Saccharomyces cerevisiae S288C: one gene and its partners. Changing the gene in region 3 together with the main gene of any one other region gives a genetic interaction. Each region holds a gene or a part of one and is shown on either strand. Other genes may lie near its edges.

Region 1 (3,979 bases), on a different chromosome or scaffold from region 3:
CAACCTACTTAGCTGGTTGTCTCTGTGTTCACGACTATTTGATGCCGTACTTTCCAGATTGGTCTTTTCGTAACTATAATCGTTGTGCTCGCTGTGCGGGCTGCCGCTGCTTTCATCGCAGTGCATCATAACATGATTGTTCGGTAGTGAATTGTCAGAGCAATTACTCCTCAAAGACCCTACATTCGATTGTGAACCTTGGGCTTGCATGTTTATCGCTTTCTGACTTCGGTCCTAGCATAGACGTTAACAAGTTAGAAAGATGTGAATACATATGCCTTCAACCCTGTTTTCTTTTAAGGATACAAGGACACAGCTATTACAACAAATTTTGTTGGTTTCTATCTTATCTAATCGATAATCTTTTAATATTTTAATCTAATCGCAGTTATCCAAAACTGGAATGAGATGGTTCAAATCCCCAAAGGTAGATGGAGTTACTGCTGAGGCGTGGAAAAACCCGAGTTTTTCCGAAGCCGCATATGAGAAATTGAGCAGGAATAATAGATATTTACGAAGAGGTAAAAGTGATAAAAGGCAGCGCCGTGGCAATATCTATTTACAATGACTCATTCTGACTATTTAAAAGTATGTAAGGGCTTTATCTAGGCTTTGTGCCGTTCAGGCTTTTTGTATACACATGTGATAATTGTATTACAGCTTGTAAGTAATTCAATGAACGTTTCTACACCGGCTAAACAAGAATCCATTTTGCTCCATGGCTCCAAGTTTCCATCCTTTACTGTGTTCACCGGTTCTGAATTTGGAGAAAACTTGGCCATTGGAAACGATTTTTCGTTTATAGCGCCTGCTATCAGGCTATTGATCTCATAATAGTTGTACCCATATGCATTCTTAAACGCCACTTCTGATGGGAGAATAACTGCTGATAAAACAGCATTGATGCCTACCTTAGTCATGAAATTGGGTTCATTTGCTTTCAGTTCATTCAAACCTGGAATTGCCTTCAGTAGGGAGATGCCGTAACCTGGGATGAAACCTTTGGCCAGCCCATGACATAGGACGTTATTTAAGCAATTATCTATTGCATTTCTTCTTCTGTCGATTTCGATTTCGTTATGTCCACCAATGCTTAAAGTGACCGTATTTTGGAGGAAGGATTTCGGAACTTTATTTGGAATCGCTTCAGCATCAATGGAGTTATATAAGAATGCCTCCCCTGTGGTCGCTTTTATGGATTCGATACTGCCGTAATATTTATCCGCACACATTTTGCTTGGCACTAAAGGACTATATTCTGGTGAGTAGATGCTGTCATATCCGCAAGGCAACCGTAAGAACTTTATAAAATCAAGATTCTCCTGTGGCGCTAAGTCATTGTTCGCCTTTTTAGAGTACTTCAAAACCACTATTCGGCTTTCATTATTTTCTCTCTTGTTTCTGTTATTGTTAATTGTAACGGATGTTAATGCATCACCTGTGCAATCTCCGTTAACGATTAAGAGAACAGATTTTCTCAACTTTCTTGCATACGTTATCGTGGGTAGAATTTTATTAGCGTCTCGTAACGTCCCATCATACATAAGAACTAGCATATCTTTATCAATGGAAACTAATTTCTTAGTAGGCAACTCCAGGGACCTTAAATAGGCTTCATTACTATCTAAAATACCAGCTGGATATTTCCAACCCTTGGATACATCAACCTCATCGTAAGTTTTGTTGCCGTTTATGACCCGCACAATGTCATCCGAAAACAATTCATAATTAATGGCTTTCAAAACCCTTTTGATGCTTTGGCTGTCTGAGGAGGACATAGTCAATTGCTCGACCAGAGCATCAACATCGTTTTGACTTTTCACTATAATCTTGTTCTTCGCAAGAAAATCTCTGATATATCGTAATCCGGCCTTGATCCCATTGGTCACTTCTTTTTCGGGATACTTGAAATAGTGCTCCAGTAAAGAGCATGTCAAAGATGTTGAAGTTGCTGTTAAGTTGTCCTGAATGCAATCCATGAATAATTGTAGACCAACCCTCCCCAGCTTTCGAGGCCTGTTTGATTGAAGTCGTGTGTTGGTAGCTTCATCTACTTGTAGGGAATCTAGTAACTCACGCATTACATTGTGAAGTCTCATGGTATCATGAGAACTAACGACCTGTGGCTTGGATTTATACTTAGGTTCATATATCAATGTTTTATTGTAGGAGGATGAAGTTATTATTTTTTCCAACAGCTTAATACCAGAGAGCGTATCTCTGAGAACCTGAAGGTTTTTTGTTCTATAGATTGGGGTGTGTAACGTTTTTACCGAACATTTCGTTTGATGATTTCCCAATTTCCTCAAACAATTCCTCAGCATACTCGTTAAAGCATAAGAGAGTTTTATGTTTACAGTAGTGTGGGAGAAAATAACGCCAGGTTAAAGCTCGTAAAAGGTAAACTATCGCACTATCGAAACTTTTGTTTCACAGGGAATGGAAGAAAGGGCCTTTATTTTTTACATTTTTTTAAGCCATAACGGATTTTAGTTACCGAGATTTTCAATCCTATAAGAATTACCTAAACTATTAAAAGCGGACCCATCTAAAACATAACGTTCGGCAAGTAGATGTATTGTTCCAAAAAGGCAATACATCCATACAACGGTGCCACCGATCTGTAATGAATGCTCCGTAATGTTTGGGGGATTCATTAAATTTACTGCTGGAACCGAGAGAGAAACACGACAGAGCAATTCATATAAATGAATAAATGAAAACTCGGTCGTATTGCCCTTAAACGTTTATAGGACCAGGTTGGCTACTTCCTCATCTCAATTTTGTGATAGGGGAGGTCTGCGTAAGGAATCAATTCGGATACCTTGGTAGTACTTTTAGGGGCACATTTTTTATTTCTACTTCTTGTATTATTAGGTATCACTGAGATCTATCTCTAATGATGCCTTCACTCCCACAGATAGCGGAAGACATTAATGCACTTCAAATCAAAACTTCTTCAACTAAAGCTACTCTTTTCGAACGCAGAAGATATAATTTCATTCCTAGAGACTTTCTACGAACCTAAAGTAGCAAATTTAAAAAAATAAAGAGTTTGATCCAACCGAGGTTCGAACTCGGGATCTTCGCCGTGTAAAGGCGACGTCTTGAACCACTGGACCATTGGACCCGGAACTCGATACTATGTCATTTTTGGATATCGGTTAGTTGTATACATTGGATATCTCATCTAAAAGCATTACGCATGCCCTATAACTGGTAAATTCAATGAATGTTTTGTAAGTTGAGGGGATGCTAATTCCCTACGAAGTATTTCTATATTATGTGCAACTACATCAAGAAGATAATATTAAAGTTGTTGGAATAAGAATCTGTTGGAATGGAAATCAACTATCGTCCATCAACTATAGTTATACTACTGGTATTATCATATACGATGTTAGATGATGACATAAGCTATGAAAAAACTGCCATTGAAGTTAAAGGAAGCTGAAATGCAAAGATTGATAATGTAATATGATAATGAAACATTTAAAACGGAATGAGGAATAATCGTAATATTATTATGTAGAAGTATCGATTCCATTCGAGGATTCCTATATCCTCGAGGAGAACTTCTAGTATATTCTGCATACATAATATTATAGCCTTAATCAATAAAAACCCCAAGAATTACCTCAAAATTCACCAATATCTCAAAATCAACCTTCATCTGTCTACCAGTAGTCATATTATTATATGTTATCATATACAGTGTAAAAAAGATGATATAAAGATTGAAAAACAGTCATCAGATGTTTGGGAAGCTGAAATAAAATATAGTAGGACAATGGGTGACAATATATAAAATGGAGAAAGAAATAGTAGCCTTATTACGTAAAAGTATCAATCTCTTTTGTAAATTTTTGTATCCTGGGGAAGAACCTTTATCATATTCTCTATTCCTAATGTTATAACCTTAACAACAACGAAATCCCAAAAATTATGACAAAATCCACCAATATATCAAAATTCACAT
Region 2 (3,218 bases), on a different chromosome or scaffold from region 3:
AACTAAGCGAAAGACAGCAAAAGCTAAATCAACATCTTTTCAAATTGAATAGATTGGCAGAGGAATTTAATGTTGCAGTATTTCTGACAAACCAAGTTCAATCAGACCCAGGTGCTTCTGCATTATTTGCCTCGGCAGATGGTAGGAAACCAATTGGAGGGCACGTTCTGGCACATGCGTCAGCAACAAGGATTTTGTTGAGAAAAGGGCGTGGTGACGAAAGAGTTGCCAAGTTACAAGATTCCCCAGATATGCCTGAAAAAGAATGTGTCTACGTAATTGGTGAAAAAGGTATTACCGATTCAAGTGACTAGTTTTTGTATACTTTTTTAATGAAGATGACATTGCTCCTTTATTAAACTTTTCTTTTACTTTGTGTTACTAATATTATTAATATCTTGTTATGATTCTTTGTTTTAGCAGCTCCAAAAGAAAGGAATATTATAATATAATTGTTGTAATTCGGAAAAAAAATATTAAATTACTATGGTGCATATGCGTATATAAAATTGAGCATTACCTAACGCCATATATTACTATCTAAAGTCCTCACAGATGATGTGTTTTCAAAATCAAATGATTGGAGCTCCTCATCATCATCCCCGGTAAACTGCTCGGTTTCAGATCCATTATCCAGATACCTCAACGGGCTAGTGTACGCAATTGAAGGGTACCTATAAAATAAAGTACGTTCCTCTTTCAACTGAAAAAACCCCCGATAATCCCTTGACAAGAAATAATACATAATATAATCTCGCTTTCTGACAAGACTTTTCAGTTCTTGGTACTCTAATTCCCGTTCGAAAACCGGATATGTGCCAGCAATTTCGTCAGTTATTATAGCGTTTATAATAGCCTCGTAGTCATCGGGCTCAATTCTATTTTCGTAGTTGAACAGACGGTAAAAAGGGCTACAGTCATAATTATGCTCGCATTCCTCGAGAATAATATCTGAATCAGATTGTAAATGTATGATATTTCTTGGCGTTACAACAATAGAATCCTCAGGCCCTGATATTTTCTCTATAGATGGGGAATCCGGTATATAGTCAAGGTTGATATCTGTTAATTCATTTGAATTTAGGTTAGCGCGAGCTTCAATTTCGTTAGGCTTCTTGAAATTTGCCTTAACTGGGATTTGCTTTGCCAATTTTTTGTCATCTAGCTTTTTTCTATGATTGAAATTTAGGTCACGAAGCCTTATATGTTCAAGATCCTTGGATTTTGTAGCAGCTTTTTCCTTTATCAAGAAACTGCTTGACTTCTTTTGCGAAAAAGGGTGGGTTTGATTTTCATCTTGATGCAACCTCTCATCGACATCCATTTTGTCACTGTGTCTGAGAATCTATACTTCAGGGCCTGCTACAAGAAGTAGAAACTAAAATACAATGTTACAAATGCGAGAAGGGTTTTTTTTATGATCATGAGTGACCGCAATAAAATCTTTCGAAGCTTTTTCGAATATTTTAACATTTTTTCTCTATAGCTTCTTTGTGGCATCGCCCATGGGATCAAACCATACTGGTTTCTTTGTAAAACAGGCGCAAAATATAGAAACTCAGAAAAAGAGAAAACGAGTAGTGGAAAAATTTATCAGCCATTTATGCGACGCATCCGTTTGACTGATCTACCTATTTAAAACAGAAACCTACGTTGAAAAGTTATTTTTCCAACACATTACTGGATCTCATCAAATTGCCAATGTAATCTTCTAGATAATCATTTTCTTGCTTTAGTTGCTCACACACCTCTTGCTGCTCTAAGGTTTTATTCCACAACAAGTCTAATGTATCCTTCAGAAGTTTGGTTTGGCGCATCATCCTCTCATTTTTTGTTCCAGCTTCTCTTTCGCCAAGATTAACTTCAGAGGATGGCTGCTTGCCCGTCGGCGAGCCAGTACTAATGTTCTCCGCTGACATTGTCCTATTTGTTTGTTTGCTATTATAATTTATCTAGTCAACAACTTCGCAGATCTACAAACTGGTCCTTAAGATGTTTTATTGAAGACATCATTTTTTATTTTTTTAAGCAGAACGTGCTGTGCTCTCCCTTTTGGGCCTTTTTACGATTTTCAAAAAAATTGGTCTCTAGCGGGATCGAACCGCTGATCCCCGCGTTATTAGCACGGTGCCTTAACCAACTGGGCCAAGAGACCTGTAATCTGTGTTAAACCTGCATAAATTATGAAATCATAGCAACGTTTCAAATACTTCAGATGCCCCCATCCCTTCGTGTAGATGATGAAATGAAACTCTAGAATATCATCCATTTAGTAGCATTCTTGCTGCTGGTATAGTATCATATGAGATCTAGGAAGATGAAATGAAGCTTGAGAAAGAGTTAGCAAGTTTAATGGAAGCTGAAATGCAAGAATTGATAATGTAATGGGAAAATGAAGCATATAAAACGATAGGAAAAATAATCGTAATATTATTGTATGCAAATACCGATTAAATTTGAGGATCCCTATACCCTTGAGGAGAAGTTCTAGTATGTTCTGTATACATAGTATTGAAGCCTCTATCAACAATGGAATCCCGATAATTATCACAAAATTCACACAAACCTCAGATAAACGTAACAGTATTAGCATACATAATTATACCCAGGCTTCTCCCACAGTGCGCATGATTCGCTACGAAATCATCAATTTCACATAATATTGAGATTGCATTTGTTTTTGTTTCTTGCGTTGTCACTTTTAATTCTGCTGTATTATCAACTCCTGCACTTAGCTTCTGCAAGATAAAATGACGACTTGAGCATCATTCTCAGATTCAGTTGAAAGTTGCTGACGATTTTCAGGGGTCCCATTTCTAGTAAAACGACATTAGACATATACTAGAAGTTCTCCTCAAAAGATACAGGAATCAATAAAAGAGAATCGGCAATTCTAAATAGCATATTATTATTACTTCTTTTGCTTTGTAAGTTGTAATTTACAATCCTATTACATTATCGTTTCTTGATTTCAACTTCCATTAGATTTGATTATGACTGCCATCATTTTGGGTCACCGTACGTGAACATTGGTTTGCAACAGGAATAAAAGTCTTGAGATGTTGTACTCTGAGCAAATAAACAAAAGGAATTCTTTCTAATATTTCACAAAACTGATTTCCAAAAATGTCTCTAAGTACTCCATTAGCGACACATTTTACATTTCATTTATTTAACATAATACCTTATTTAAAGATTGATTAATTTTCGATGAGGCA
Region 3 (3,420 bases):
TCGTACAAAATATTCCCTTTGGTACTCCACCTCTTCAAGATGTATCTGTGTGGTAGGTTCTTGAGGTGATTTAGAAAACGGCCTTCTGATATGTTTGACTAACCCTTGAATGCAACATCTTATTGTTCTCGATTAACTTTTGTCGCGCTGTTGAAAGGGATTCAACAAAACAATGCGCTCGTCTCTAACGATCAATGGTCTATTTATCGTGTAAGTATATATGACATAAACTTTACATATTACGAAGTCATTTTTAAAACTCGAGCTCCTTTTACTCAAAGCTTCTATATTTTACTTTGAGGTCTTCCGATAATTGTATTAGTACTCTCAGCCAATATATGCATCGACAAGTAGCTGGGCGGCTATATCACTAAATAGCTCGCAAAAAAATATTGCTTTTTTATGGCAGAAAAAAACATGTAAAATTGAAAGATAATATTAGTAATGGAAGTATAGATAATTGTATATAGTATTATAGATACATATATCAATACGTATGCATTAAGGACCCTATTTCATGGAGACCAATTTAACATCAAATGTCAATTCAGAGTTAGCAGGAATACCGGGCAAAGCTTGTTTACCGTAGGCATATGGAGCAGGAATGACAATTCTACGCTCACCACCGACCGCCATACCAGCAACACCGATGTCCCATCCTTTAATTACTTCGCCTTGGCCCAACTTAAAAACAAAAGGCTTACCCTTTGTATTCTTGTCAAAAACTTTCCCGTTCTTCAACTTACCAACATATCTCATTCCAACTCTGGTACCCTTTTTGGCATGTGGGCCTTTTCCTGTGACGCGGTCTTCAATGATAATACCGCCTTCCAGTAGCTTCGTCTTTGGCTTTGGTTTGCTCTCTTCCGAGTCTTTAACTTTCTCTGCTTTCTTGTCTTTCTTGGTCGTTTGTTTTTTCTCGGCAGGTTTAGCACTTTCTTCCTCATCTTCCTCATGTTTCCTTTTACTGTCCTTCTTGTTGTTTTTCTTCTTTTCGTCCTTTTTGACTAATTCATCAAGACGACTTTCGATGTCACTAGCATCTACTAAATCATCAAGATCGTCATCACCGGAACTTAGTTCCTCATCGTCCTCTTCTTCTTCTTCTTCTTCTTCTTCTCCATTGGAAGATTCTTCGTCACTGTAATAGTCTTCTTCATCTTCGTCTGAATCTGAAGAATTGTCGAATGGATGTTTGACGTAGTTACCGGTTAGAGAGATAGTGTATGAACCGGTAACGACGAATTGAACGTCTTCCTCTGGTGCAATGGTAATATCCAAAGCTTGTTGATATTGGCCTTTTGGAGATAAGGTTAAAAGAACGCATTCTTCGAATTCATCGTCGATTTCGTTTTCATCTTCAGAGTCTTCTGATTCACTTTGCTCGACTGCCTTACCTTTTTTTGATTTGACACTCCTTTTTGGTACATCTGCTTCTTGTTCACTTTCACTTTCATCCTCTTCGAGGCCGTCATTGTTATCTTGGTTGTAGTACTCACCGCGAGTGAGTTCAGGATTCCTTTTGATTATTCTTAAAGTAGATGGCTTTTTGTCATCGTCAAAGGGCTCAGGGTCGATGGCCGCCATTGTGATTCTAATGGTAACCGGAATTTTGAAGTTCAGAGCTGGGGTTGGGGAGTATGGTTCAACATTCAGGCTATACGTAGCCAATGGAAGCATATCAGACATGGTAGAGACGTATATTTTGTTGTCTTTTTCTTTTTTCTTATCATTCTAACATGAAAAGCACTTCTTTTAACACTGTAAAATTTTCAATGCCCTTCTCTTTTCGATGCACCAGCTAAAATTTTCACTGCCTCGGGTTTGAGATAAAAATATACATAGGGCATCGAAGGCAAGAAATTGAGAAATTTAACGTTCATATGGGTTAATGATTGTATGAGAATGTCTGACGAAGAATATTATTTTTGCTGAAGTTAAACTAAGAATTAGAATTATGACTTGATACACAATGCTACTTTCTTTTGGCCAAGCTATTTGATATAAAAGTATACGTAAATACAGAAAAAGGCAACAGTATGCAGGAAGTTATTCGTAGTTCTTTCGTCACTCGAAATAAAACGTACAACAGACTTAACTTTTACGCGTGTATTAAATATCAACGCACTAATCATACACCCCACTGAGGCAGGTTTAATCACAAAAATGTTGAGATTATTTGCCGCAGCAAACTTTAGCATCTGCACTGTAGTTGCTTCCCCAGCATCCACTTAGTATGGACAAATTGGGTTGTATGTTTACCTTTTACATATATAACATTATCGCTGGCAGGTTACAGAATTTATATGGTGGTTTTGAGAGAAGTTAACACATTGGGAGGACGACTCTGATTATACCTATTGCAATGGCTCGCTAGGACAGCATTTCCTCCACAGAGACTTTGCCTCAGTGCGGTTGGAGTAGACCATGCAGCTTCCAATGTAAATGAATAGATATAGCCTAGTGGCCCAGAACGGCGATGACCTGATCTTGAACCCTTAGATATTAATATTTATGATTTTTTGTATTTTGCTATGTAAGAGAAAAAAAAAATTATAGATACAAAAAGAAGGATATAGAAAAGCACAGATAATGTTGATAGGAAAAATGAATTAGAAGAGGATTAAACTTAGATTACATATCCACTTACCTTTCCGTTATTGTCAAACAGTATTTTCAGATCAACGCATTCTCTATCAATTCTCCTTGTTTTGAAATTCTATTTTAAATCATTTATAATTTTTTCAGTTCAATTTAGAATTTCAATAGGTGTGGCTTGTCACCGTTCTTCAAAGAGAAAGAAGCGGACAAATATTGCTTCAACAATGGGGTCTTCTTGATTTCAGCCAACAAAGCCTTGTCAACAACCTTTTGATCTTCAACACGTTCAGTCTTGATTTCCTTAGTTTGTTGTTCTGGGAACAAGTTAGCTTCCTTCTTTTCCTTCTTGGTCAATTTTTCCTTGGCAAAGTATTCAACGTTGAATTTTTCAACGTTGACACCTTCCACGGAGACTTTGGTAGAGGTAGCAATGACATAACGAGCGTTGACTCTTCTCAATGGAACACCATTGACCTTGAATGGACCAGTGACCAATAGAGTGTTGTCTTCTAGATGTTTCAAGTAGACAACTCTCTTACCTCTGAAACGGCCAGCTAGCAAGATCAAAACAGTGCCTGGAACTAGAGAGGCACGCAACTTTTGTGGGCGAACAGCCTTTCTGGTTTTCTTTGGGGCAGCAACGTCTTCGGAAGGATACCACTTTGGGGCCTATAATTGACATATCGTGATGTAAATCACATATATAGTTAGTATACTACTCGTTTACTTTTTTCTTGCACAATTGATGGTGGGCATGGCGTGTGCTGATTCAGCACAAGGTTTGGTACTATCCTCAAAAAAATTCTTAGCGTAGGAAGA

The links.
Region 1: mutations in FPR4 (region 3) and TCM62 together harm fitness more than expected from each alone (negative genetic interaction), as found in Saccharomyces cerevisiae (2 studies listed by BioGRID).
Region 2: mutations in FPR4 (region 3) and ISC10 together harm fitness more than expected from each alone (negative genetic interaction), as found in Saccharomyces cerevisiae (2 studies listed by BioGRID).

The regions. Positions count from the first base shown.
Region 1 is NC_001134.8:323,736-327,714, forward strand, and holds TCM62 (Tcm62p), read right to left. Parts: upstream 2,325-3,979; coding exon 606-2,324; downstream 1-605. Other genes in the region: QDR3 (Qdr3p), read right to left, coding at 1-210. UniProt on the Saccharomyces cerevisiae protein: Chaperone. Required for the assembly of succinate dehydrogenase subunits. Ensures mitochondrial gene expression at elevated temperatures and prevents heat-aggregation of the ribosomal subunit VAR1.
Region 2 is NC_001137.3:549,204-552,421, forward strand, and holds ISC10 (Isc10p), read right to left. Parts: upstream 1,325-3,218; coding exon 521-1,324; downstream 1-520. Other genes in the region: recombinase DMC1, read left to right, coding at 1-314; SLO1 (Slo1p), read right to left, coding at 1,662-1,919; YER181C (uncharacterized protein), read right to left, coding at 2,270-2,593. UniProt on the Saccharomyces cerevisiae protein: Indispensable for spore formation.
Region 3 is NC_001144.5:1,029,103-1,032,522, reverse strand, and holds FPR4 (peptidylprolyl isomerase FPR4), read right to left. Parts: upstream 1,690-3,420; coding exon 511-1,689; downstream 1-510. Other genes in the region: 60S ribosomal protein eL6 RPL6B, read right to left, coding at 2,755-3,270. UniProt on the Saccharomyces cerevisiae protein: PPIase that acts as a histone chaperone. Histone proline isomerase that increases the rate of cis-trans isomerization at 'Pro-17' (H3P16), 'Pro-31' (H3P30) and 'Pro-39 (H3P38) on the histone H3 N-terminal tail.